7 linked regions of the Kluyveromyces lactis genome follow. The protein of the gene in region 1 purifies or fractionates together with the protein of each later gene. This does not show direct contact. Links are inferred from orthologs where the notes say so. Each region holds a gene or a part of one and is shown on either strand. Other genes may lie near its edges. The genes, in order: HSP104, ALD4, STI1, CPR6, GPH1, SGT2 and PDB1.

Evidence for each region.
Region 2: the proteins of HSP104 (region 1) and ALD4 purify together in Saccharomyces cerevisiae (affinity purification with mass spectrometry, with the first as the bait; 3 studies listed by BioGRID). This does not show direct contact. The link is inferred for Kluyveromyces lactis from reciprocal best matches to the Saccharomyces cerevisiae genes HSP104 and ALD4.
Region 3: the proteins of HSP104 (region 1) and STI1 purify together in Saccharomyces cerevisiae (affinity purification with mass spectrometry; 5 studies listed by BioGRID, with this or other methods). This does not show direct contact. The link is inferred for Kluyveromyces lactis from reciprocal best matches to the Saccharomyces cerevisiae genes HSP104 and STI1.
Region 4: the proteins of HSP104 (region 1) and CPR6 purify together in Saccharomyces cerevisiae (affinity purification with mass spectrometry; 3 studies listed by BioGRID). This does not show direct contact. The link is inferred for Kluyveromyces lactis from reciprocal best matches to the Saccharomyces cerevisiae genes HSP104 and CPR6.
Region 5: the proteins of HSP104 (region 1) and GPH1 purify together in Saccharomyces cerevisiae (affinity purification with mass spectrometry, with the first as the bait; 3 studies listed by BioGRID). This does not show direct contact. The link is inferred for Kluyveromyces lactis from reciprocal best matches to the Saccharomyces cerevisiae genes HSP104 and GPH1.
Region 6: the proteins of HSP104 (region 1) and SGT2 purify together in Saccharomyces cerevisiae (affinity purification with mass spectrometry; 5 studies listed by BioGRID, with this or other methods). This does not show direct contact. The link is inferred for Kluyveromyces lactis from reciprocal best matches to the Saccharomyces cerevisiae genes HSP104 and SGT2.
Region 7: the proteins of HSP104 (region 1) and PDB1 purify together in Saccharomyces cerevisiae (affinity purification with mass spectrometry, with the first as the bait; 3 studies listed by BioGRID). This does not show direct contact. The link is inferred for Kluyveromyces lactis from reciprocal best matches to the Saccharomyces cerevisiae genes HSP104 and PDB1.

What each region holds. Positions count from the first base shown.
Region 1 is NC_006042.1:1,666,894-1,671,081, reverse strand, and holds HSP104 (chaperone ATPase HSP104), read right to left. Parts: upstream 2,801-4,188; coding exon 101-2,800; downstream 1-100. UniProt on the Saccharomyces cerevisiae protein: Required, in concert with Hsp40 (YDJ1) and Hsp70 (SSA1) and small Hsps (HSP26), for the dissociation, resolubilization and refolding of aggregates of damaged proteins after heat or other environmental stresses.
Region 2 is NC_006042.1:29,838-33,087, reverse strand, and holds ALD4 (aldehyde dehydrogenase (NADP(+)) ALD4), read right to left. Parts: upstream 2,070-3,250; coding exon 501-2,069; downstream 1-500.
Region 3 is NC_006037.1:636,046-639,420, forward strand, and holds STI1 (Hsp90 cochaperone STI1), read right to left. Parts: upstream 2,247-3,375; coding exon 501-2,246; downstream 1-500. Other genes in the region: SAE3 (Sae3p), read right to left, coding at 1-41, 121-230; RKM4 (ribosomal lysine N-methyltransferase), read left to right, coding at 2,855-3,375. UniProt on the Saccharomyces cerevisiae protein: May play a role in mediating the heat shock response of some HSP70 genes. It is required for optimal growth of yeast cells at both low and high temperature.
Region 4 is NC_006042.1:502,135-505,119, forward strand, and holds CPR6 (peptidylprolyl isomerase CPR6), read right to left. Parts: upstream 1,620-2,985; coding exon 501-1,619; downstream 1-500. Other genes in the region: SCM3 (Scm3p), read right to left, coding at 1,958-2,560; COA4 (Coa4p), read right to left, coding at 2,833-2,985. UniProt on the Saccharomyces cerevisiae protein: PPIases accelerate the folding of proteins. It catalyzes the cis-trans isomerization of proline imidic peptide bonds in oligopeptides.
Region 5 is NC_006042.1:931,895-935,851, forward strand, and holds GPH1 (glycogen phosphorylase), read right to left. Parts: upstream 2,801-3,957; coding exon 95-2,800; downstream 1-94. Other genes in the region: MCM DNA helicase complex subunit MCM6, read right to left, coding at 3,724-3,957. UniProt on the Saccharomyces cerevisiae protein: Phosphorylase is an important allosteric enzyme in carbohydrate metabolism. Enzymes from different sources differ in their regulatory mechanisms and in their natural substrates. However, all known phosphorylases share catalytic and structural properties.
Region 6 is NC_006040.1:104,347-107,143, forward strand, and holds SGT2 (Sgt2p), read right to left. Parts: upstream 1,509-2,797; coding exon 501-1,508; downstream 1-500. Other genes in the region: KLLA0_D01133g (uncharacterized protein), read left to right, coding at 1-437; ALG6 (dolichyl-P-Glc:Man(9)GlcNAc(2)-PP-dolichol alpha-1,3-glucosyltransferase), read right to left, coding at 2,390-2,797. UniProt on the Saccharomyces cerevisiae protein: Co-chaperone that binds to the molecular chaperone Hsp70 (SSA1 and SSA2). Regulates Hsp70 ATPase activity. Required for recovery from heat shock.
Region 7 is NC_006042.1:882,278-885,273, forward strand, and holds PDB1 (pyruvate dehydrogenase (acetyl-transferring) subunit E1 beta), read right to left. Parts: upstream 1,566-2,996; coding exon 501-1,565; downstream 1-500. Other genes in the region: TDP1 (tyrosyl-DNA phosphodiesterase 1), read right to left, coding at 2,625-2,996. UniProt on the Saccharomyces cerevisiae protein: The pyruvate dehydrogenase complex catalyzes the overall conversion of pyruvate to acetyl-CoA and CO(2).

The sequences.
Region 1 (4,188 bases):
AAAATATGTACTTTACACTATATATGATGGTACTGTTGAACTGAAATTTTATTACTGAGTGAGTTTGTTTGTATGTTTTCTTTTTGTAATTCATTTTAGATCAGTCTAGGTCTAAGTCGTCATCGTCGTCCAAGTCCAAATCCATGTCTTCATCACCAATTTCTGATGAAGCTGGGTGATTTGGTAAAACTTCTAAATGAGATCCATCGGCACCCACTTCTACATTGACAATTTCTTTGTCTTTGATCTCACCCTTCAAGATATGGATTGCCATTGGGTTCAAAATCTCGGTTTGAATTAATCTGTTCAATGGCCTAGCACCCATATCCTCCGAGTAACCATTCTTGGTCAAGAAATCCCGAGCTGGTGGTGAAACGTTGATCTTGTAATTCTTATCATTATCCGCAAATTGCTTCTCCAAGTCTTTGATTCTGATATCAACAATTTTGTGAATGGCCTTGTGAGAAAGCTTGTTGAATACCACGATACTTGAGATTCTATTCAAGAATTCTGGTCTGAAATGTGCTTTAACGGCACTCATCACCAACTCTTTGGAACCCTCAGTAACCTTTGATCCAGTCTGAGCATTGATAAATTGGGCACCCAAATTAGAAGTCATAATTACAATACAGTTCGAACAGTCAATTGTCTTACCTTGACCACTAGTGATTCTGCCGTCATCTAACATTTGCAAAAGAACGGTCAAGACATCAGGGTGGGCCTTTTCGACTTCATCAAATAACAACACACTGTATGGTCTTCTCTGTAATTGATTAGTTAAGAAACCACCTTCTTGGTAACCAATGTAACCGGCAGTAGTACCTAATAATTTCGAAACTGAATGTTTCTCCATCAATTCTGAACAATCGATTCTGACCATAGCTTTTTCATCATTAAACAAGAAGGATGCGACTTTCTTAGCTAATTCAGTCTTACCGGAACCAGATAAACCTAGGAATAAGAAAGATGCCGGTTGATTAGGGTTAGACAAACCAGATCTAGAAAGTCTGACAGCGTTAGAAACGGCTTTCACAGCCTCCATTTGACCCACAACTTGTTGCGATAACTCACGTTCCATATGGATCAACTTTGTGTTTTCAGATTCAGTTAGTTTATTCACTGGAATACCGGTCATTCTAGCGGCAGTCTCGGCAATAACCTCGCTGTTAACCACGTTCTTCACCATTGTTTCAGAACCTTCCCTGGATTCTTCTTCAGCAACTTTTTGTTCCAATTCCTCAATACGTTTCTTGATATCCGGAATAGCAAAGTATTTCAAATCAGCTGCGGTAGCATTATCGTAACGACGTTCGGCATCCATGCATTTGTTTTCCAATTCATCGAGCTTCTTTTTGGCTTGTCTTAGTTGTTCATGAGAATCCACTTCCTGTTGGTAACGCTGTCTCATTGGTTCCAATTCCTCAATTAATGAAGCTTCCTTTTGTCTGGCTTGTTGTAGCCTTTCTTTTGTCGTTGGATCCGTTTCTTCATCTCTTTCTAATGCCTTGATTTCAACCTGTAGTAAATGCAATTCGCGCTCTTTATTGTCTAATTCTTCGGGCTTAGAATCACGAGCAACAGCGACACCGGCACATGAAATATCAACCAAGTCAATAGCAGAATCAGGTAATCTTCTGTATGGCAAGTACCTCTTAGCTAGTTGAGCTGCAGACACTAGGGCACTATCTAGAATTCTAACACCATGATGTATTTCATACTTTGGCTGTAAACCTCTCAAAATAGCTACCGTTTGCCTTGTCGTTGGTTCAGGGACATCAATCTTCTGGAATCTTCTTTCGAAAGCACCATCCTTCTCGACCAAAGATCTATATTCGTTAGTGGTAGTGGCACCAATTACCTTCAAGCCACCACGAGATAAGGCTGGTTTCAAAATATTAGCAGCATTGGCAGAATCATCTACACCTTGGCCCATCAACATATGAATCTCATCGATGAATAATATAATTAAAGTCTTTGATTCCTCGATTTCTTTCAAGACACCTTTTAATCTTTCCTCGAAATCACCTTTATATTTGGCACCAGCCGTCAATGCAGCAAGATCCAAAGAAAATAATTTGCAACCCTGTAGAATTTGTGGAACATCATCGTCGATAATTCTTTGAGCAACACCTTCTACAATGGCAGTCTTACCAATACCTGGCTCACCGATCAAACATGGATTTGACTTGATTCTTCTAGCAAGAACAGTGATGGCAGTTCTAATTTCTTCTTCTCTACCGATAACAGGATCCAACTTACCTGCTCTAGCCTGTTCAGTCATATCGATCGCATACTTCTTCAAATATTCCCATTTTTCATTTGTATCAGCGTCTCTTGAATCAATTCGTTGATTGCCTCTCAATTCGAGCATCTGCTGCTTCACAGATTCTATGTCAATGGAACACTCCTTAAAAATGCTTTGAGTTGTTGCATCTTTGAACAAAGCAGTCAATATATGATCTTGACCGACGAATGAATCTTTTTGCTGTTTCCTAATTTCTGAAGTATCTTTCAAGACCTGCCCGAAAGCATAACTTGGCTGAATTTCTAATGGTGCGGGCGTCTGAGATGGAGTCCTGACTAGGTTTCTGTTGATGGCCCTTTTCAAAGGTTCATAATCATATTTCGCTAATTCCACCAAGTTTTGTAAGAATCCAACAGAACCATCCTCGTTTGGCTCAACAAATGCAGCAAGTAAGTGAATTGGTTGTAACTGAGCATGTCTGTGATCCTGAGCCAATTTCTGGGCCAAACGGATAATTTCGTTGGCCTTATTTGTAAATTGTGTTTCGTCGTTCATTGTAGTAATATCTTCTTTCTAGACAATAAACTGTTGATGCGTTTGATGATCCTGACAATTGTTGTTTATTTCTATCAGATAGACCACTATTGATACAATTGATGTAATTGAATTCCAAAGCAGGAAGCACTCAACAAATGATTCTTCGGATGGTCTCCCTTTATATACCTCTTCACTACGCTTATATTCTATAAACTTTTTTTTTCACCTATTCTTTCTATAAGCATCTATCAAAAGATACCCTAAAATCACCTTATTAAGAAAACTAATAGCAAAGCAAAATATACCTCAACCCCTATCTCCCGGTACCAGTCCCAGCTTTAGTATTGCCCAATTCACAGACAAACAAAGCTCTAACAACTACATTACTTTTCCAGTATAAACCAGTACATTCTCGAATAATTCACTCACTCAAGGTTAAGCTTTTAAATTACCGTTGGGACTGACGTTCATGGCTACGTAAAATAGAAAATTGTAAGTACGTCCTTATTGTTAGTTGAATACTAGATCAAACAACCAGCTATCCCAGCATGTTGCTTACGGCAATGTAGAAGCTGTGTGGGGATTGTAAAGCTACTTAAAATTCACTCTGCTCTAAGCTAGAGTCCGGAACCGTGATAGCTAGAACATTACCGGATTTTTCTGGAAGACTCTCGAAAGTGCATGTCCACAAAGAAAACCGAAGAAAAAAACTGGAACAAGTGGATCACCATCACGTGATAGATTTTGAAATTTAACGCTAGGTTTTTGGAACGCACTTCTGTTTCGATGTCAGGCGTCAGTTTTGTAATTCACGTTAATTAAGACAATATCATTGGCATTGTGTCAAGTTTTGGATAGCAACATATTATTATTTTCCTTGTAAGATCTACATATGTATAACTAGATATTCCAGCTCATGTGCGTGATGATCTTTCGTTTTTGAATCAAATTAACAAGGACATCATGAAAGCAATAATGGAGCCTATGGACGAAGTTCTCTTCCAATTATAAGCATCATTTAGGGCAGTAGAATGATCAGTCTCAGTGCCATTGTAGTGACCGTCATCTGTTTTCCATTCAGTGTCCGTTTCGTTCTTTACCTCTTTGTAACCTTCCTTCAATGCAGCAGAGGTAGTGTGATGTGGTTTCTTGGTGAAACTCGTCTCAACACGTTTTTCTTCAGTCACTGAAGGTTCAGCTTCGGAGTATTCATCATCATCATCATGTTTTTTGTTCTTCTTGTCACTATGTTTTTTGTTCTTCTTATCTTCCTTTTGCTTTTTCTCTTCTTCCTTCTTAGCCTTTTTCTTCTCTTTCTTGGTTTTTTTATCTTCTTTTGGCTTCTCTTCCTCAGACTTTTCGTCCTTTGATGTGTCGTCCTTTGGATCTTTTTCCTTTGGTTTGTC
Region 2 (3,250 bases), about 1.6 Mb from region 1:
TCATAACACGTACAATCTTCTAGGTTGATAATAATTCCGACAGATAACCCTTTATTATTTCATTAATAGACAATATACGTAATTTATTTTCCGATTTAGAAAAATTGCAGAATGCATTGGTTTTTGTTTGGATAGAGCCTAAATGTAGATATCAGATGAGTCGCACTACCAAATTGTACTAAGGCAGCAAAGACGACATTAATCAAAGAATATTTTCATTTAGCATTTTCATTAAATCATAATATACGCCAATAGTAAATAATGGTCTGCATCTCACAGTATGAAACACAGCTAACCAAATCGGTATAAATAATCAGGATATATAAAGATTGTCAGAATTCTCCAGAAAATCAACTTACTCGCGAAAATCGGTAATAAGAAGAGCTGAAGAGCGTGATATGCATCTTCTTTTTGGAGGTATTTCCGTAAGTTATATTTTATGATACAAATATCATGATCTCATGTGCAGACCTTGTGCCTGTAACTACATATCAGCCAATTTACTCCAATTTAACACGGACAGCCTTGACTTGAGTGTAATTGTCTAGAGCTTCAGAACCCATTTCTCTACCAATACCAGAAGCATTGAAACCACCGAACGGAACACAGTGGTGGAAGTCGTTGTATGTGTTAATCCAGACGGTACCAGCATTCAATCTGTTTGAAACCTGGATGGCAGTATTGATGTTAGATGTGTGAATTCCTGCAGCCAATCCATATTCAGAGTCGTTGGCCTTTTCAATCAATTCATCAATGGTTTTAAACTTGGTGACAGTGACAACAGGGCCGAAGATTTCTTCCTTAACGATTCTCATGCTTTCTTCAACATCAGCGAAAATAGTTGGTCTAACAAAGTAACCCTTGTCACCAATTCTTTCACCACCAGTAATTAAAGTAGCACCTTCATTCTTACCAATCTCCACATATTTCAAGATCTTGTCCAATTGATTTTGCGAAGTTTGAGCACCCTGGAAAGTTTCTGCATCGAAAGGATCACCAACCTTTAGAGCTTCTGAAGCAGACTTAATTTCCTTCAAGAAATCGTCATAAATAGATTCTTCAACATACAACCTGGAACCAGCACAGCAGACTTCACCGGAGTTATAGTAGATACCCAACAAAGAGTTTTGAACAGCGGATTTCAAGTTTGCATCAGCGAAAACAACGTTTGGTGACTTACCACCTAGCTCCAATGTGACCTTCTTCAAATTGACACCGGCATTTTGGTAGATATGACGACCAGTAGCAGTGGAACCAGTGAATGCAACCTTCTTAATCTTTGGATGAGTTGTAATAGCCTCACCAACAATTTTACCGAAACCAGAAACGATGTTCACAACACCGTCTGGGATACCCGCTTTTGGAATGTATTGAGAAACGTATAGTGCAGACAAAGGTGTGGATTCAGCGGTCTTCAAGACAACAGTATTACCGGTAGCAAGAGCTGGAGCAATCTTCCAAGCCCACATCAACAATGGGAAGTTCCATGGGATAATTTGACCACAGACACCTAATGGTTCTCTAACTGTGTAAGAGAAATGAGTCGAACCAGTATCAATGACTCTACCATCCACCTTATCAGCGTAGCCAGCAGCTGATCTTAGGTAGTTAACAACTAGTTGAACATCACCTTTAGCAGATGAGATAGCTTTACCATTGTCCAGAGATTCGATAGAAGCAATGGTATCCAAATCCTTTTCAATGTAATCAGCTAACTTGCTCAAACACTGAGATCTGACTAGTGGGTCAACCTTAGACCAGACACCGGACTTGAAAGCTTTGTCTGCAGCCTCAACAGCCGCATCCACGTCTTCCTCCCGACCTTCGTAAACATGAGTAATTTCTTCTTCGGTTGAAGGACTCAACACTTCAAAAGTCTTCCCTTGCTTGGAAGGAACAAATTGGTTATTGATGAACAAACCAGTTGGTTGTTCGTATGAAATACCATTTGGCAAATCAACCTTGACCTTCAATGGTAAATGCGAATAGTAACGTAAAGCATGTGCGAATGCCGCAGTTTGTGACTTGAAAGCTAGTCTAGTACCAGCAGTGGTAGTACGTAATAACATTTTATTTGAAAAGTTTTGCCTTTTGAATCGCACTGGTTTTCTTAATAGACGAATATGGTATTATGGTTAAAATTTTGAACTCAAAGCGTCTAGTTGAAATTCCGATTCTTTTTTTCAATGTGTCAGTATTCGTTGCCCTTTTTTTTTTTTGGGAAACTTGTCAATGATATCTGAACCTTAAATAATGTATATTGTCAACGCGGTACAAAATATAGCGTTAGAGGAATATCAACTAGGTCGATTATCTGTAATTAGTTAATTTTTCTTGCTGAAGTCCAAATCTCCTGAAATAGCGTCCTGAGTGAATAAACTGGAAATCATATAGCTTATATATATATATATATATGTATATATACAATTCTAAAGTGAAGGAAGTGTCTGAATTAAGGGTGATTAAAACAACAGAAAAGCCGTAGCTCATAAAAATGGAGAAGCAAAGTGGGAAAATGTTGAGAACTCGAATGACCCCGCTTAACGTATGTTGATACTACGTGGATACAAACCCTTTACAGTATGGTCATAAAAGGAAAACCTCTGTCCCATCACTAGCCAAATGTTGCAAATTGGATTGTGGCCTAATGTAAATACCGGTAAATAAGCGCAAGAGAGCAGAAACACTCTGAATATCGTTTCATTTTTTTCTTTTCGGGAGAACAACTGGTGGATAAACTAGAATTGTGTGACTGGTCACTTGAGTTGTGCTTCCGAACGAAGGGCAGTATCTCGTTGTCTTGGTTTATAGCAACACTATTAGATGTGCTGCACTGCCCGCGCCTGTTCTTCAATATACTCCGTGAATTTCAAACACCAGTTTTTGCTAAGAAAACAAATCTCCAGTATATTTCTACTCGTTTACTATATTAGCTAATGAATATGCCCCTCCGTTCCGGTTTCCCCTCCCGACACAATAACTTAGGCACGATACTTGGTAGTTGAAAGAGGGGTCTAAAAGAAACACAATACAACAGATTACATCAAAACTTCAATCACTGCCAGTGTTTCTGTATTTCTGGCTTATGTTAGCTAATCATTGACGCCCTTTTTTTTTTTTCGGCAGATTGCAATATCGAGATCGGAGAAACTTCTTTTTTGCGTATATTCGGTTCATTATTTCCGGTCTCTGGACCTCTCTGTTTTGAATATTGCATTACTGACACAACATTATCTAGGTAGCTCTAAGC
Region 3 (3,375 bases), on another chromosome or scaffold:
CAGCAATATGTTTCAAGTTAATCTTTTCTGGCGTCTCAGTTCTGTTAATATTTTTTTTTGGTTAGTATCGTTGCAATTTAGCCGCCGAAACTTGGAAATATAGAATAAGGTAAAACATACATATGTAATTCGTGAGCCAACGTCTGAAATTTCTTCTCTAATTCCTGGTAAGATACCTTAAGGGCAGCGAGTCGCTGCTGTTTACGATTTAAACGATCCTCAACGCCCATTATGTTACTCTTTGCCCTTTTTCTGTGTATATAGTTCCTCATCTGTAGATTTCAATGTTGTTTGTAGAAGATAAATATCAGAAAATGATATGGAGAAATTAATAATGGAAACATAATTTGCATTAATACATAAAGCCCATCAGACAATGCTGATAGAATAATGGTATAGATATATATCTGGAAGAGAATTAAATGCTAAACATAGGCGTGTATATATACTAATTCATGTTGAAGTTTCAGGTCGAGTAATATGACTGACTGTCTGTAGAACTAGCGAGTCTTGATTATACCAGCGGCGATCAAGGTTTGAATCTTCTTGAAGACGTCTGGGTTTCTCATGTGTTCCTGTAAAGCAGCAGGATTTTGCTGAGCTTGTGAGAGTATAGATTGCATGACAGGGTCTTGTAAAATTGATGCAACTTCTGGATCCTTGGTAGCTCTAGCATACGCTTCCTCTGGAGTTTCATTGGCGTTTGCAGGTTCGAATCTAGCTTGGGAGGCCTTGATGTATAATTGGTCAATTTCTCTAGTGTTTGCACCACTGTTGACCTCTGCATCTTTGGTTCTTGCACTATCAAGTGTTTCGATGGCACCAGCATAGTCTTTGATAGCAATTTGACCGGTGGCCTTTCTAATGTATGCTCTGACAAAGTTTGGATCCTTCTCGATGGCTTTGTCACAGTCTCTAATGGCGTCAGCGAATGACATCAACTTAGATAGAGCTGCAGCTCTGTTAGAGTAACCTCTGGCATCGTTTGGATTTCTTTTGATCATTTCAGTGTATGCTTCGACAGCCTTTGGCCAGTCAGCCTTAGTGAAGTATTCCTTACCTTGTAATCTAGCTTCTTCTGCCTTTTCAGGGTCCATGTAAGATTCTGCTTCCTTTTGCTTGAGTTCCTTTTCTGTGTTTCTTAATTTCGTTAAGATATCTGGGGTACGATGTTCAGTTAGAGATTTTTCATAGTAGTCGATAGCCTTCTTTAAATCGCCAAGCTTGTGGTAAGAGTTACCCATACGAGCGAAAGATTTTGAAATGACTTTGTAATCAGCTCTGAGTTCTCTACCTTGTTCCACAGCCTTTGTTAGAGTTTCGATGGCTGCCTCGTAATCACCTTTTTCATATTCTGCTGCAGCACGGTTGTTTAGATACGTGATGTCATTATGAGTTTCCCAAGCTTCATTGTATTTTTCAATAGCTTCATCGAATTTTCTTTGTTTGTAAAGCTTGTTACCTTCAGCTTTTGCAGCTTCGGCCTTGGATTTATCATCGTCAACTTCCATTGGTTCAGGTTCAGGCTTTTTAGTTTCAACCTTTGGTTCAGCTTTTGGTTCAGCCTTTGGTTCAGCCTTTGGTTCACTTTTAGTCGCTGAGGCAGCTTCCTTGGCCGCTGGTTCCTCCTTTGGAATGGAGTTGGATTCGTTTGGGTCCATTGATAAATCGATACCCATCAAAGCGGCAAGAACAGTCATCAATCTAGGATCGGACAACATTTCTTGACCCATAGCTTGTGGATTCTGTTGGAACTGTAAAATCTTAGCGACAAATTGAGGATCTTTCATAAACTCGGCGGTTTTCGGATTCTTCTTCAACTTTTCAATCATCATTGGGTCCTTGAACATGTTTCCTAAACCCAAATCCGGTTGCGCAGTTCTTTGTTGTTGAGTTTGTTGCACTTGCGATAACCCATCTTGTGCGGCTTTGTTAGCACTATCCAACTCCAAAGCCTTCTTATAGCTTTGTTCAGCCTCATCCAGGTCACCCAAACCGTAGTGCGCAGCACCTAGTCTGTTATAACCTTTAGCCCACGATGGATTGATCTTTACACATTCGTTAGCATCGTCCAACGCCTTCACAAAATCCTTATTAGAAGCGTAACATGCAGAACGGTTAGAGAACAAAACATGGTTTGGCTGTTCTGAAACTTCAATAGCCTTAGTAAACAATTCAATTGCCTTGGCATAATCCTTGGAGGCAAATGCCTGGTTACCTTCTTGTTTGAATTGATCAGCACTCATCTCGTTTGTAAAATCCCTAGATTTTTTTCTTTGTTTCTTGACGCTAGTACCAATAAGACGAAACGAATAACACTGTTTCAGTTAGACAATTAGCAACTGTTCCTAGGTTGATATTCGACGCGTTATCTGAACTTATTGGCCCAAATTCACCATTCGATCTTATCAAAACTCCCTCTTTTTATATTAGTTGGATGTCAATTGTTCAAAGATTGTTAGGGCAGAGCAGTATTTTTTTTCGAGAACGTTCTTGACATGATGTTACCCGGATCTCGTGATAACACACATGTTGTATAACCCAAAAACAGAGGCCTGACATATCCATATAACGAGAAATTCTGTGCTCATTACTCATTGCTTCTCGTTTCAATTATTGACTACCGTATGAATTTCAATTTAGCGCTGAACATTAACCCTGGTAGTATCCTTTTCACCACATTTTTGTTTGTTTCCTATCTATATTTTGTCATTATTATTCTGACATTGATGAAAATTTAATATGTTCCTAATCTGGAGGTTAGCTCATCGCGAACAAAGATTAGTGATTTAAGAAGGACCTTAAGGCCTATATCTGAACATTTCTTAGGCGTTATTAAGCGGGATTTGGAAATATGACTGCTACTGATTTTGAAAGAAAAACTGATTTGTTTTTAGAGTGGTTACCCACAGTTGGAATCAAATTGTCTAAGAATGTCAAAATTGTCGATTCGAGAGATGAGCATCAAGGTAGATCTATGATCTGCATTAACGACGTGAAGGAGGGAGAGAAGCTGTTTTCGGTACCTGAGACAGCTTCATTGAATATTATCACCGGTTCTTTGGGTAAACTGGATGAAAGCTATTTAGGAATTTTGCTGAGTAAGGTTGAACATTGGCATGGTTTGATTTTAACCATCTTATACGAGTGGAAATACCTTGGCGAGAAGTCGAAATGGTGGCCATACTTTCAGGTACTACCAGATCAGTTTGATACGTTGATTTATTGGGATAAGGAAGATTTGGATAAATTGAAGCCCTCTTTGGTGCTGGACCGTTTGGGTGAACAACAATCCAAGGATATGTACGTCAAAGTTCTGGAGTTGATGAAAACATTTAATGTTGCCGATAAGATTGGAGAAGTAACTTATGATGA
Region 4 (2,985 bases), about 1.2 Mb from region 1:
GATAGAAAACACTAACAATCTTCAAATATGCTGTTTATTTAACGTAACGTAACGCACTGAAACGACAAAGAAGTAGCTAATGTGGTAGCCAAAAGATCCTAGAGGGGTACAGAGTTTGGTGTTTGGAGTGGGGAGGTCCAAAATGCCGGTGTATGAGCGGTGACTTTTCTCCTTGAATGAGCTGTTGCATGTCAAGCATTGTTTTTGGCCATTGTTTTCTTTATTCTTTGCCACTTGAACAAAGTTGAAAATTTTTGGATGTCGTTTAGTACGCAATACGTATGAAATGATAGGGATCTGCTATGCATTCGAGAATAGCGGAACGTACTTATGTCCGTCATCGCAAGAAGCATACTATTTAACTGATGGTTAATTACTTGAATATTTCCATCTGATTTTACTTTGATAGGTGATAAGGATTTTGAATAAGATGTGAGGAAATATATAGTCAGTACTAAGACACGTATCCATTTTATTTTGTTTTATAAGAGGAATCGAAATTAGGAAAACATTTTGGATAATGACTTCTTCTGTTTAGCAATCAACTCCTTTTTGGCTTTCTTGGCGTCTTGTAAAGCCTTTATAATTGCAGTATCATGTGGTTGGTATGTAGTAGCCAATTCGAGGTCTGTCACGGCCATTTCTGCGTTTTTTGTGTAGTAATAAGCTAAACCACGGCGATACAATGCCTTGGCCTTGGATTTATCGTCTGTGTTGTCAGCATGAAGGGCTTCAGTGGCGGCGCTAAGTGTTCTACTGTAATTTTTACTCTTGAGAGACACCAAAGCGATGTTCAAGAATAAGGATACCCTTAATGCGTCAATTTTTTTAACATCCTCCTCTGGTAAATCTTGAGGGAAGTACTGCTTAAGCATTTGACTACTTTTTTCATATTTCACAAGGGCTACTTCAAAATTTTTCTCCTTGAATTGTTTAGTACCGATCTCTTTTACTGCTTCTACAGCGTTCAAGACACTATTGACGTCGTTGGGATCAACCTTCGAATCGTCTGTTATATTTTCTTCATAATTGTCACCATACGCATCAGTCGGAGTCGCTTCTGCATCTGCAGGAACAGTATAATCGGATGGTAACACACCACAATCCTCAATTTTAACCTCTTTGGCCGGCTTATCAGCTTCATCTGTAGCATTATTTTCTATAGTTCTGACTAACCTTTTGCCCTGGATCACTTCACCGAAAACAACATGCTTACCATCTAAGTGTGGAGTTGGAACGCATGTTATGAAACATTGAGATCCATTGGTATTCGCACCAGCGTTTGCCATAGACAACAAGAATGGCTTATCATGCTTCAAAGTAAAATTCTCATCTTCAAATTTCTCTCCGTAAATCGATTCACCACCAGTGCCGTTGAAGTTAGTGAAATCTCCAAATTGACACATGAAAGACTTGATAACTCTGTGGAAGATCGAGCCCTTGTAGCTCAATGGTATATCCGGTTTGGATTTGGCAAATCCCGAGTTACCTTCACAGAGTTTTAAGAAATTCTCCGCCGTCTTTGGAACAACATCAGAATACAACTCGAAAACAATCCGACCAGCAGGTTTGCCCCCAATCGAAATATCGAAAAATGTCTTAGGTCTTGTTTCACTCATATTCAAATTCAATGAGCTAACTCGTATGTGTACTTTTTTCTCCACGTAGGTAGAAATAATGCAGGGTTAGTTTGCTTCTTCAAAATAACAACCGCTTTGCCGTAACCTACCTTTAAGATCAATGATACAAGCTGGGTTTGTCAAGAGAGGTTACTAATGGACTTTACTCAATTTATACTTCTTTTTCAGCCGTTCTCATTGTACTTTTGTTGTGGTTTTTTCAAGGCTAGATCGATAAAAGATGGAAAGCTTCGAATTTGCTAGAAAACCTTTAAAAATATATCAATACATGAACGAACCGTAAACACAGTGATAAATGAATATCTGAAGCGCCTGAACTAATTACTTTCAGGATTAGGTCTTAACTTCTTCATATAAACTTCATTACTGTTATCTGCTTCAGAGCCAGATCCCTCATCTAAACCATCGGCTTCGAGACCAGATTCAGACTCGGACCCTGTTTCTGAATCGTTAGTTTCGTGATCTTGCCAAACCGATGAATTATATGATGAGTCTTTAATATCCATAATGTCATTCAGAACACTTTTATAAGACACTGAACCACCATCTGGTAGCGAACTATGTAGAACTGATTTTTCGTTGCTCAAGTTTCGTAAATGGCCATTATCTTCTATGACTTCTCCAGTTTGTAAATCTATTACATCACCTTGATTATCTATACTTTCATATTTTTGTATGATCTGGGACCATACGCGTTTCATATTCTCGTCTGCTTTCTTATGACGCTCCATAACCTCTTCGTCTGACAATTTAGGAATTAATCGATTCTCTTTAGACATGATGTAAACCACACCATCTCGAGTAATTTGTTTTAGATTCTCTTCTTTCTTTGGCTCCTCTTCGCCTAGCAAATCCCTTAATGCACCTGTCAATCTTCGAAGATTAGCCTTCTTCTTACTATTTGATGGTCTTTTAATCATCAATAAAGCACTATTGCTGTAATTCTACTTGGAAACTTCACCTATGGTCCGGGAACTGGTTAAATTTCGTTATGTTCTGGTGTAAATGTTGTATTGAAACGATTATTCATTATCCTTAACTAAAATATGTCAATTTAAATGTTGCGCTGCGTAGACTAAAAATATTCAGATGGGTATTCGCATATACAATTAAATGGGTCTATATACAATATGTGGAGTATTTCGACAAAGCTTCACAGTGAAGGATCTTTTTACACCTGTAAATGCAAATCTCAATGTTCTTTTGCATCGACTGTCCCCACTCTCTGGTCATTACCCTTGGATTGCCAACAATCTTTGAACAGTTTCATTTCACCAAGACACTGTCTCCAATCATTAGTCTCTGCATGGCAAAGTTGTAAAGCTAGATTCTCTACGTAACAGCC
Region 5 (3,957 bases), about 730 kb from region 1:
TATATAGTGATAAAGTCAAGTATTGTTTAGTAGTGTATTATAAGGGTAAACCTCTGGCGGGGATTTGAGGAGGTTCTAAAAAATAGGAGGAAAATCAGTTGGTCAAGGGTTCGACGTTCCATATTTCGTCGGCGTATTCTTGAATACAACGGTCACTGGAGAAGAATCCGACGTTGGCAACACTCAAAATGGATTTCTTCAACCATTCTTTCTTGTTCTTGTGGTACACTTCGTCAACCAAAGATTGGGTTTGCAAGTATGATTTAAAATCGTCGCTCACCAAATAGTAGTCACCATGATGTCTGATAGATTCAACTAATGGCTTGAAGTCACCATCAAAGGTGCCTTGTTCGATGACTTGGAACACTTCCTCCAATTCTTGTGGTAATGGTTCACCGTGGTATTGGTGTTGATATCTTAACTCTTCCACGTTTTCTGCCAAGTTACCAAACAAGAAGATGTTATCTTCTCCGATTTCTCTTGTGATTTCGACATTGGCACCGTCAACAGTACCGATGATTAAACCACCGTTCATAACGAATTTCATATTGGATGTACCAGAGGCTTCAGTACCTGCAGTCGAAATATGTTCACTTAAGTCACTGGCTGGAATAATAATTTCTGCTTTAGAAACGTTGTAATCAGGGATGAATACAACTTTAAAGATGTTATTGATCTCTTTGTCATGGTTAACAACATCACTGACACTGTTGATTAACTTTATGATCAACTTGGCCATGTAGTAACCTGGAGCACTCTTACCACCAAAGATGGATACCTTTCTTGGGTACTTCTTCTCAACTTCTGAAATTGGGACGCCTTGCGATAACAACTTTTTAATACTCAAATATCTGTAGATACATCCGAAAATGTTCATTTGTTGACGTTTGTATTCATGAATACGTTTCACTTGAATATCAAACAAGGTGTTTCTGATATTATCTCTCTGGATGACATCTTCTCCATCGTATAATTTTTCGATCAAATCTGCAAGTCTTTGCTTGTTGAATTGCTTGACGTCGTTCCACTGACTTTGGAAGTCTTCGTCTTCAGCAAATTTTGCCAACTCTGTTAGCTTTGACATGTTCAACAAATAGTCATCTTGAGGATCACCAATAGCCTTACTGATCAATTCACCAAGTTTTGGATTAGCTTGTTTCAACCATCTTCTTGGTGTGATACCGTTGGTAACGTTGGTGAATTTACCTGGCCCATAAATCTTGACGAAATCTTGGAAGATAGTAGTCTTAATCAATTCTGAGTGTAATTCAGCAACACCATTAACCTTATGAGAACCAACAATGGCTAAGAAAGCCATTCTGATTTGTCTTTCCTGAGAGGCTTCCTCGATAATGGAAACTCTACTCAAAAGATCAACGTCCCTTGGGAACTTGCTTTCGACGTGTTTCAAAAAGAACCAATTGATATCGTAGATGATTTCCAAGTGTCTTGGTAACAAATGTCCGAATAGACCGATAGGCCATTTTTCCAACGCTTCTTGCATGACTGTATGGTTAGTGTATGCAAAGGTTTTGGTAACAATGTCCCATGCTTTGTGCCAATCCAAATGTTCCAAATCGACAAGGATTCTTTGCAATTCAACAATTGCCAATGTAGGATGAGTGTCGTTCAATTGGATTGCAACTTGATTTGGAAAATCTTCCCAGGAGTGTTTAGCCTTCTTAAATCTTCTAACAATGTCATGCAAAGATGCGGCACACCAGAAATATTGCTGTTTCAATCTCAATTCCTTACCCTCTTGGAAGTTATCGTTAGGGTACAAAACAGCAGTGATGGATTCAGCACGTTGCTGTTGTTCAACAGAATTCTTGTAATCACCACTGTTAAACTTGGCAAAATCGAATTCAGTGGTTGGTCTAGCAGTCCACATTCTCAAGTTGTTAACATTTTCGGTCTTGAACCCAGGAATTGGCATGTCATATGGAACAGCAATGACTCTTTCACCTCCAATCCATTTACTTGCACACAATGTAGAGCCATCCCCATTGTTATCTGACCTATCAACGTAACCGTAGAAGTTAATTGGCACTTGAATTTCACTTCTCTCAATTTCCCATGGATTGGCAAAGTTTAACCAATAATCTGGGGTTTCCACTTGGTAACCATCGATAATCTTTTGAGCAAAGATACCGTACTGGTAACGCAAACCATAACCCCATGCCGGGTAGTCTCCTGTTGCCATTGAGTCAATGAAGCATGCAGCAAGACGACCTAGACCACCATTACCAAGAGCAGCATCCGGTTCTTGCTCCAACAAATCTTCTAGCTTGAAACCCAACTCATCAATGGCGCCCTTAATTTTTTCTCTTTTCTCAACACCACTTTCCTCAGAACCATCTTGTGAGTTAATCAAAGCGTTATCCAAGGCTCTACCCATTAAAAATTCCAACGACAAGTAGTAAACCCTCTTCGAGCCACGCGCTGTTTGTCTCTGCTGACTTTTGTTCCAGTCAATGACCAAGTTGTCACGGACACTTTGAGAAGTGGCTTGATATGCAGCTAAATCATCACAATTGTACAAAGAACGAGCCAATGTCGTTTCAACGTGTTGAATGAATTTGGACTGAAATTCGTCTGGGGTTTCAAACTTCTTAACCCCATGTTTTTTCCAAATTTCTCTACTCTGCAAAGGAATCATAGTATTAATACTCTTAATTTCCTGAGGCAAAAACCCAGTCAAACGACGGGAAAGACGAGGCACACCATGAGGCTCGTCAACCATCATGTCATTGGATGTGGAAGTGCTCAAGCTAGGTCTTCTAGCAGTACCGGAACCCATCTTGGCTTATCTTTTCTTATTCTTAGTCTAAAAAACCGCTTGCAAGGCCCTTAAAAATATATATAGCTTCCTTTCAAGTTAAAATAGTCAATCAATTAACTGCTATTATATTTGATAGGTTGGCCTTGAACAATTGTAACAATTGTATCTGAAACTTTCACAATTCTTCATTCAAGGTGGTTAAGGCTCCCCTTTCTTTCATTTCCTTTAAGACATCCCTTTTCAATGGTTCAATTGGCATTTAAATGCAAAGCGGAAAAACAAAAAAAACTGAAAAGAAACTATTTTGGTGGATGGCCTGACTATGGATGTACGAGTATTTCTCTAGATATAACTAACTATTTACCTATAACTACATTTAATTCGTTTTCGAATACAGACAAAGACGCAACCCTTAATCTATCAGAGACCGATTGTTGAATCCATGTGCGACAAGTGATATCAAGTAATATAGTTTATCCCTGTTGTCAAGTTATGAGGTCCAATTACTATGTTACTTGATCTATGTTCCATCGTTTAAAAGTTAGAACGAAAATCCTCTATGCACATGTTAATCTCCGTACTAAACCTTTTATTCCGGCCTCTTAATGCAATATGTTCTCTATTGTTTCCCCACGCTTTCAGAAAATGTAGTTTTGTACGTTAATTACAAAGCTTAAGGGGCGACGGGATAATTGCTTATGGTTACAACGTGACGAAGAGTGACATTCCTCGTCAAAAGGTGAACTGGTTTCTCTTATACAATTAGCGTAGTTTGCAACGTGATCGGCGTTCTCTTGAGAATTCAAGCAAGGCACAGATGTGAAAGTGAATGTGAAAGTAGAGATGTAAATGTGAATTAAGTGAAATATCTATTTATGGTTACAAATTTCAAAGATAGTGCAAATGGTCAATTTAGTTGAATTAGTCTAGTTAGTAAGTTTTCATTGAGGTGGGTTAGGGGTGATTTCATCTAGAACACTACAGTTCGGATGTATCACATACACTGTCTTGGCATTTGAGGATTCGACATCGGCAGATAGATCGTCGTTTTGACCATGTATTTGCATCAAGACCCTGTCCTTTACCAATCTTTTGATGACTTTGAATGCCAATTTCCTTTCTTGCCAATATTCTGCTTCGGTGTTGATGTCGTTTTCTTTCTGTTGTAAATACCA
Region 6 (2,797 bases), on another chromosome or scaffold:
ACTTGGAATATCTAGAGCACTCTGTTGTCACTTTACTTAATAACTTTGAGTCTCTTCTCGCAAAGACAACTTTATGGTGGAAACATTTTGGTGAATTAATGGAACTGAAGAAAGAGTGGAAGAAAAATTTCCCAAATGACAAGGCGCCTCCTTCTTCAGCAAACAGAAATTTTATAGATACCTACATTGAAGGTAAAAGGTCTAAATTTAGGAATAAGTTATCCAATCAACTGAAAATGAGCTCTTTGAACCTTAAGAAAATTGGCGGTGAAATCAAAACAACACATGAATCGATCGCAGTGGGGATAAATCTATTCATCGAATTCAAAGAGCAGTTTTACCACGATCATATCGTTAAATCCATAGTTGATCAAAGAATCAGGGAAAATAAACAAATCATGCAACAATTGATTGATACCATGAAAGGGCATGTTTAACTAGTCATATATAGATCAAATATATACAGTCAAAAAGGACAAGCAAAAGTTTGGGTATACTGGTTATTGCTGGCTGCCGTTGCCGCCACCAAACATGTTTTTGGCCATGTCTCTAATAGATGGGTCATTCATCATTTGACTCAAATCTGGCATGCCGCCACCAGATGAGAATTGGTTGGCCATTTGCTTCATTGCTGGATTGGACATCATATCCTGCATTAGACCTGGATTTTGCATCATCTTTTCAGCGGCTTGCATAACTTGAGGGTTGTTTAGCAGTGCTCCTAAACCACCGCCTAGACCGCCACCACCTAACAAGCTTGAAAGATCTGGTAAGCCACCAGCGCCTGCACCAGGACCTTCAGTCGCAGATTTGTCAGAAACATCTTCAGAAGAAGCGCTGGTAGAGCTCTTCTCTAAGTTCATTGAGGTTTCTACCTTCTTCTTGGCAGTTTCGTAATCTCTTTTCATAACGTCAGTAGCTTTTTCCCCTTCGATATCTAGGACCTTCTTGTAAGCATCTAAAGCTTCTTCAGGCTTATTCAAAGCATACTTCGCAAATCCAAGTCTAGAAAAACCCTTAGAATATGTAGGATCAACTTCAATAGCTTGCTCGGCGTCCTTAACGGCCTGTTCGTACTGCTTCAAAGAAGAATAAGCTGCAGCCCTGTTCGAGTAGTAAACAGCGTTAGATGGAGAAACTTCGATAGCAGCAGTGTATTTTTCAATAGCCTCATCAAATTTCTTAGCAGCCATGGCCTTGTTACCCTGTAGCTTTAATTCTTCAGCCTTGGCCTTAGCTGCTGCATCTTCAACTGGAATATGAACCTTCACTGGTTCACCAGAAACGCCTCCAGAAGAGGGAGCTGAGGCTAATAGTTCAGGTAATTTCTTGCCATTAAAAGGACCAGAGATTAAAGAATCAGTCTCATCTCTTTCAAATTGGAAGGCCTCAGTGATACAGTCGATGGCAACATTCAACGAATCAACATAGTCTTCGTTTACTGAAGAAGACGATGATGACAAAAAGTCAACAATCAAAGCAGCAATTTCCTTATTAGATAGGGACATTCGGATTTTCTAAACTTTTGACAGTGCTTTAAGATGAAATAAGGATCACAAACCGCTGTATACGATAAGATGAAGCAGTAACAAAGGACGAGTCAATGATAACTCTTCTTTGAAAGTACATAAAATCCAGGCAACTTGTCATTTAAGCACTATTATAATAAACTTTTTCCTGAATGTGAATGGCGAAAAAATGATAAGTACGGAAAAACCTTCGGTTAGAGAAGGCAACAGAAGACGAAAGATTCACAGAGACACGTCAATTTCACATCGTTAGCATTTTTAAGCTGACTCGTGCCGTCTTAATTGAGAAGTAGTGATATTTGATAGAAGCTACTAATAGTTTGGAACCATCAACCATGGAAAGGAAGTTCAAAGAGTTGCTGGCTCCTTGAAAGAAGGAAAAAGTTAATCAAAAACAAAATCTTCCCCGCCAGGACTCGAACCTGGAATCTTCTGGTTTCAGAAGTAGCTAACATCGTAGCCAGACGCCGTGACCATTGGGCCACGAGGAATAAGATTTCGTGACGGTTACTACTTTTCGTTCTATATAACAGCTACAACAGATCATATGATACTTTTAAAGTAATATTCAGACTTTACCTATTTAGTGAGTATGCCGTTACACAAATACGGTGCATCCAGCATGGAGAGTTTTACTATATTGAATTTCATTACGAAGAATTGTTTTTCTCATTTACGAGTCTTATACTGGTGCTTTTTGTCTTTGTTTATTTTTGATCGAAACTGACATTCGATATATGAATACTAATTAAAGTGTAAGTAGAATCCTAAATGATTAAACAGAGGAGTGAAATATATATCCCGGTTTTGCTCTTGCAAGGTACGCCCCGTATCATTACTGCTATTATAAATTTTAACATCTATAAATCTTGCAAAGTGCTGTTTCTCATTTCGAATAATTTATAATTGTTCCATATCCAAAATGTCACAAAACATGAGAAGCCCAAGGAACAATTGGCAAGCACCCATAAATCAGGGTATTTTGATGGCGGGGAGACGTAATAGTCTAGAAAATGAATAATCCCCATTGCAATATATGAGCCAACAATGATTAATCTCCATATTAGGCTCTTGGGTAGTAAACTTGCCCGTCTATAATCAACATCTATATCACTGATGGATGGCCCTGGTGTCAAAAATTTTGGGAGGAAGCGTGGTGTGACGAAACTGAAGTTACCGATCAACCAATTGCTAAACATGAACATGACTCCATATTGCAATACTAGATTGTCCTTTTTCAGTAATGGCCAGAGTGTAAACAATGCCAC
Region 7 (2,996 bases), about 780 kb from region 1:
AAAGTAGCGCACAGCGTCTTGTTTTAACGGCAGAATATATATATACAGTTTAATCTCATAACAACCGCAGTTGTCCCCAAATACCTTATTGTTCCCATCTCTAGTGATGAAAACTTTTCTTCATCATTACTGATGGGCAACATACATGAAAAAAAATTGTAAAATCTCTAATTCATCAACTTACCTTTACCAGCGAATAATTCAACGACAGGCAACTCTATCTCATTCTATTTCCTAATCCAAAATCGTGTATTAACTGAACTTGGTATTCATATCTTAATAATATAATATGTTTTAATTTTTCTATTTTTCTTTGAAGTTTGTAAATCAATTCATAACTTAGTTTATTGCAACAAAGGAGTACAATCATAAGAAAAACCGAATGCGAATGAACCATCATGCACTATTCCTTATCCAATGAATATTCTCTTTTGTTTTGATAAAAAACGGAGGCCAACAGAGGTGCATAACTGTCAGTAAAGAAAGAGTGCACGGTGCAATCATTCAATAGACAAAACACTTTTAGCAGCTCTGACAATGGTGTCAGGGTCTGGGAAAGCAAAATCTTCTAATTCCTTAGCATAAGGAGTTGGGACTTCAGCACCAGTAACTCTTTGAATTGGAGCATCCAAATAATCGAAGGCTTCAGATTCCATAATTTGAGCGATAATTTCAGCACCAACACCGAAAGCTGGGAAAGTAGATTCAACAGTAATCAAGTGGTTGGTCTTCTTGACAGTGTTGATGATAGCTTCAACATCCAAAGGTCTAATGGCTCTCAAATTGATAACTTCAGCAGAAACACCGTATTGCTTAGACAAAATTTCAGCAGCTTCCAAAGAGAATTGAACATTTCTGGTGTAACTGATGATAGAGATATCAGAACCTTCTCTTTCAACCTTTGCTTTGTATGGCAAAGTGAAATCAGTAGACAGAGATTCTTCAGAGACTTCGAAAGATTGACCGTATAACAATTCGTTTTCCAAGAAAACAACTGGGTTTGGATCACGAATGGCAGCCTTCAACAAACCTCTAGCATCTTCAGCAGAGTATGGAACCAAAACCTTCATACCTGGAACAGAACCGTACCAAGCAGAATAATCTTGGGAATGTTGAGCAGCAACACCGACAGCAGAACCGTTTGGACCTCTGAAAACGATTTGACATTTCTGAGTACCACCGGACATATAGTAAGTCTTAGCAGCGGAGTTAATGACTTGATCCATAGCTTGCATGGAGAAGTTGAAAGACATGAATTCAACAATTGGCTTTAAACCCTTCAAAGCGGCACCAACAGCCAAACCAGTGAAACCCATTTCGGTAATTGGAGTGTCAACAACTCTTCTTTCACCGAAACGGTCCAATAAACCCTTGGTAACCTTGTAAGCACCATTATATTGAGCAACTTCTTCACCAATGATGAAAACATCATCATCACGGTCCATTTCTTCGGCCATGGCAGAATTCAAAGCTTCTCTGACGGTCATGGTCTTGGTAGAAGCAAATCTCATGGATTGAACCACAGAAGGAACAGCCCTCTTAAAAGTGTTAGAAAGCATCATCATGTTGTATTAGTATTTAATAATTTTGCCAGTTGAAAGTTTTTATCAATCGGGTACTAACGTTTCGTTTCACTACGTGTAATTCTTCTTAACCTTTAAAATTGTCTTCGCTTGTAAAACGTTTACTGAACCAAAGGAGAATGAATATTATACTAGAGTTTGATATCTTTTCGTTTTTCTTTTTCTTTTAAAGGTAGAAGAAATAATGTTTTGATAATTCGAAAACAAAAACGAAGCAATAAACAAACAGACAGAAGTTGTTGAGATGCGTTTGTTATAAGACAGACAAATTAGATAGTCAATTGTCAATTCTATAACTAAAAAGGATCCTTTTCAACTGAATTCTTTTTTATAATTTCTTGAATTTGATATTATTTTTTCACTGAAAAAAAATAAAAACTCGTTCTTTGACCTATTCAACAAATAGACGTTAGCCTCAGGGAACCGCTAATTGAGTGGGATTGGATGAGAATCTGTAGTAAGATTTATAAAACCTTTAAGAAATTATAAAGTAAGATTAAACAAGTATTGAATTACAGATCCATAAAGTATAAAAAATGAAACACAAAACAGAAGATAATACAATGAATAAAGGAATAACGACTCTAAAGAACTAACAACTTCCCTGGTGCTGAAATGACCCTCTTATATTTCTTTATATATTGGTGAAATCAAAATCCTTTAAAGGAATATATATGCGCTGCATAAGCTTTTTTTTATTCGTTTCGACTGTACGGGTCGAGCGATTCGCGGGTTGCTATACCGTTGTATTTATCTCATAGATATGCTAGCGCATAGTAAGTGCGCCATCACAAATCTGCTGAAAAAACCTGTTTTGGCGACGGGAGAATACGACATAGCAGATGAGATTGATGGAGGCGATGAGGTGTATAGGTGTTCAAACGACGGAAAAGGGTGGGGGCACGTGATGCGTGGGAATGATGCGGACATTGTCAATTTTTCTGTTATTCCGGTGTGATACCTAAATAATCCGGGTAACGTAAAGCGCTGACAGATGTCAGCGCCTTAGAATGTTGTTAGATGGTATTATTGTGTATATCATCATTGAACGACAGAGGTATAAGGTTCGTCAGTTGCTGAGTAACGCTGAAATTTCAATGGATACGGCGTCACCACTTTTACTGTGGGCAGAACAGTTATGTCTTCGGGTACCCTTGACCCAATTGTTCTTCCTGGCGGTTGTTGGGCACTTGCTAGTGTTAACCGTACTTTGTTTCTCCCCATGGTTGTCGTGTATAGAATACCGCATTCGTAATTGGTAGGTTTTTTTAGTGGGCTGGGACCCCATGCAGCTTGGGAAAGGTTATGACTGGTGAGTAGTATCCAATCTGGTCGCTTGAGTGTATTTTCATCTGTGAATTGTATATAATATTTGGTATGGCTTGGAACCATATGCCTATTCTTATCGGACTG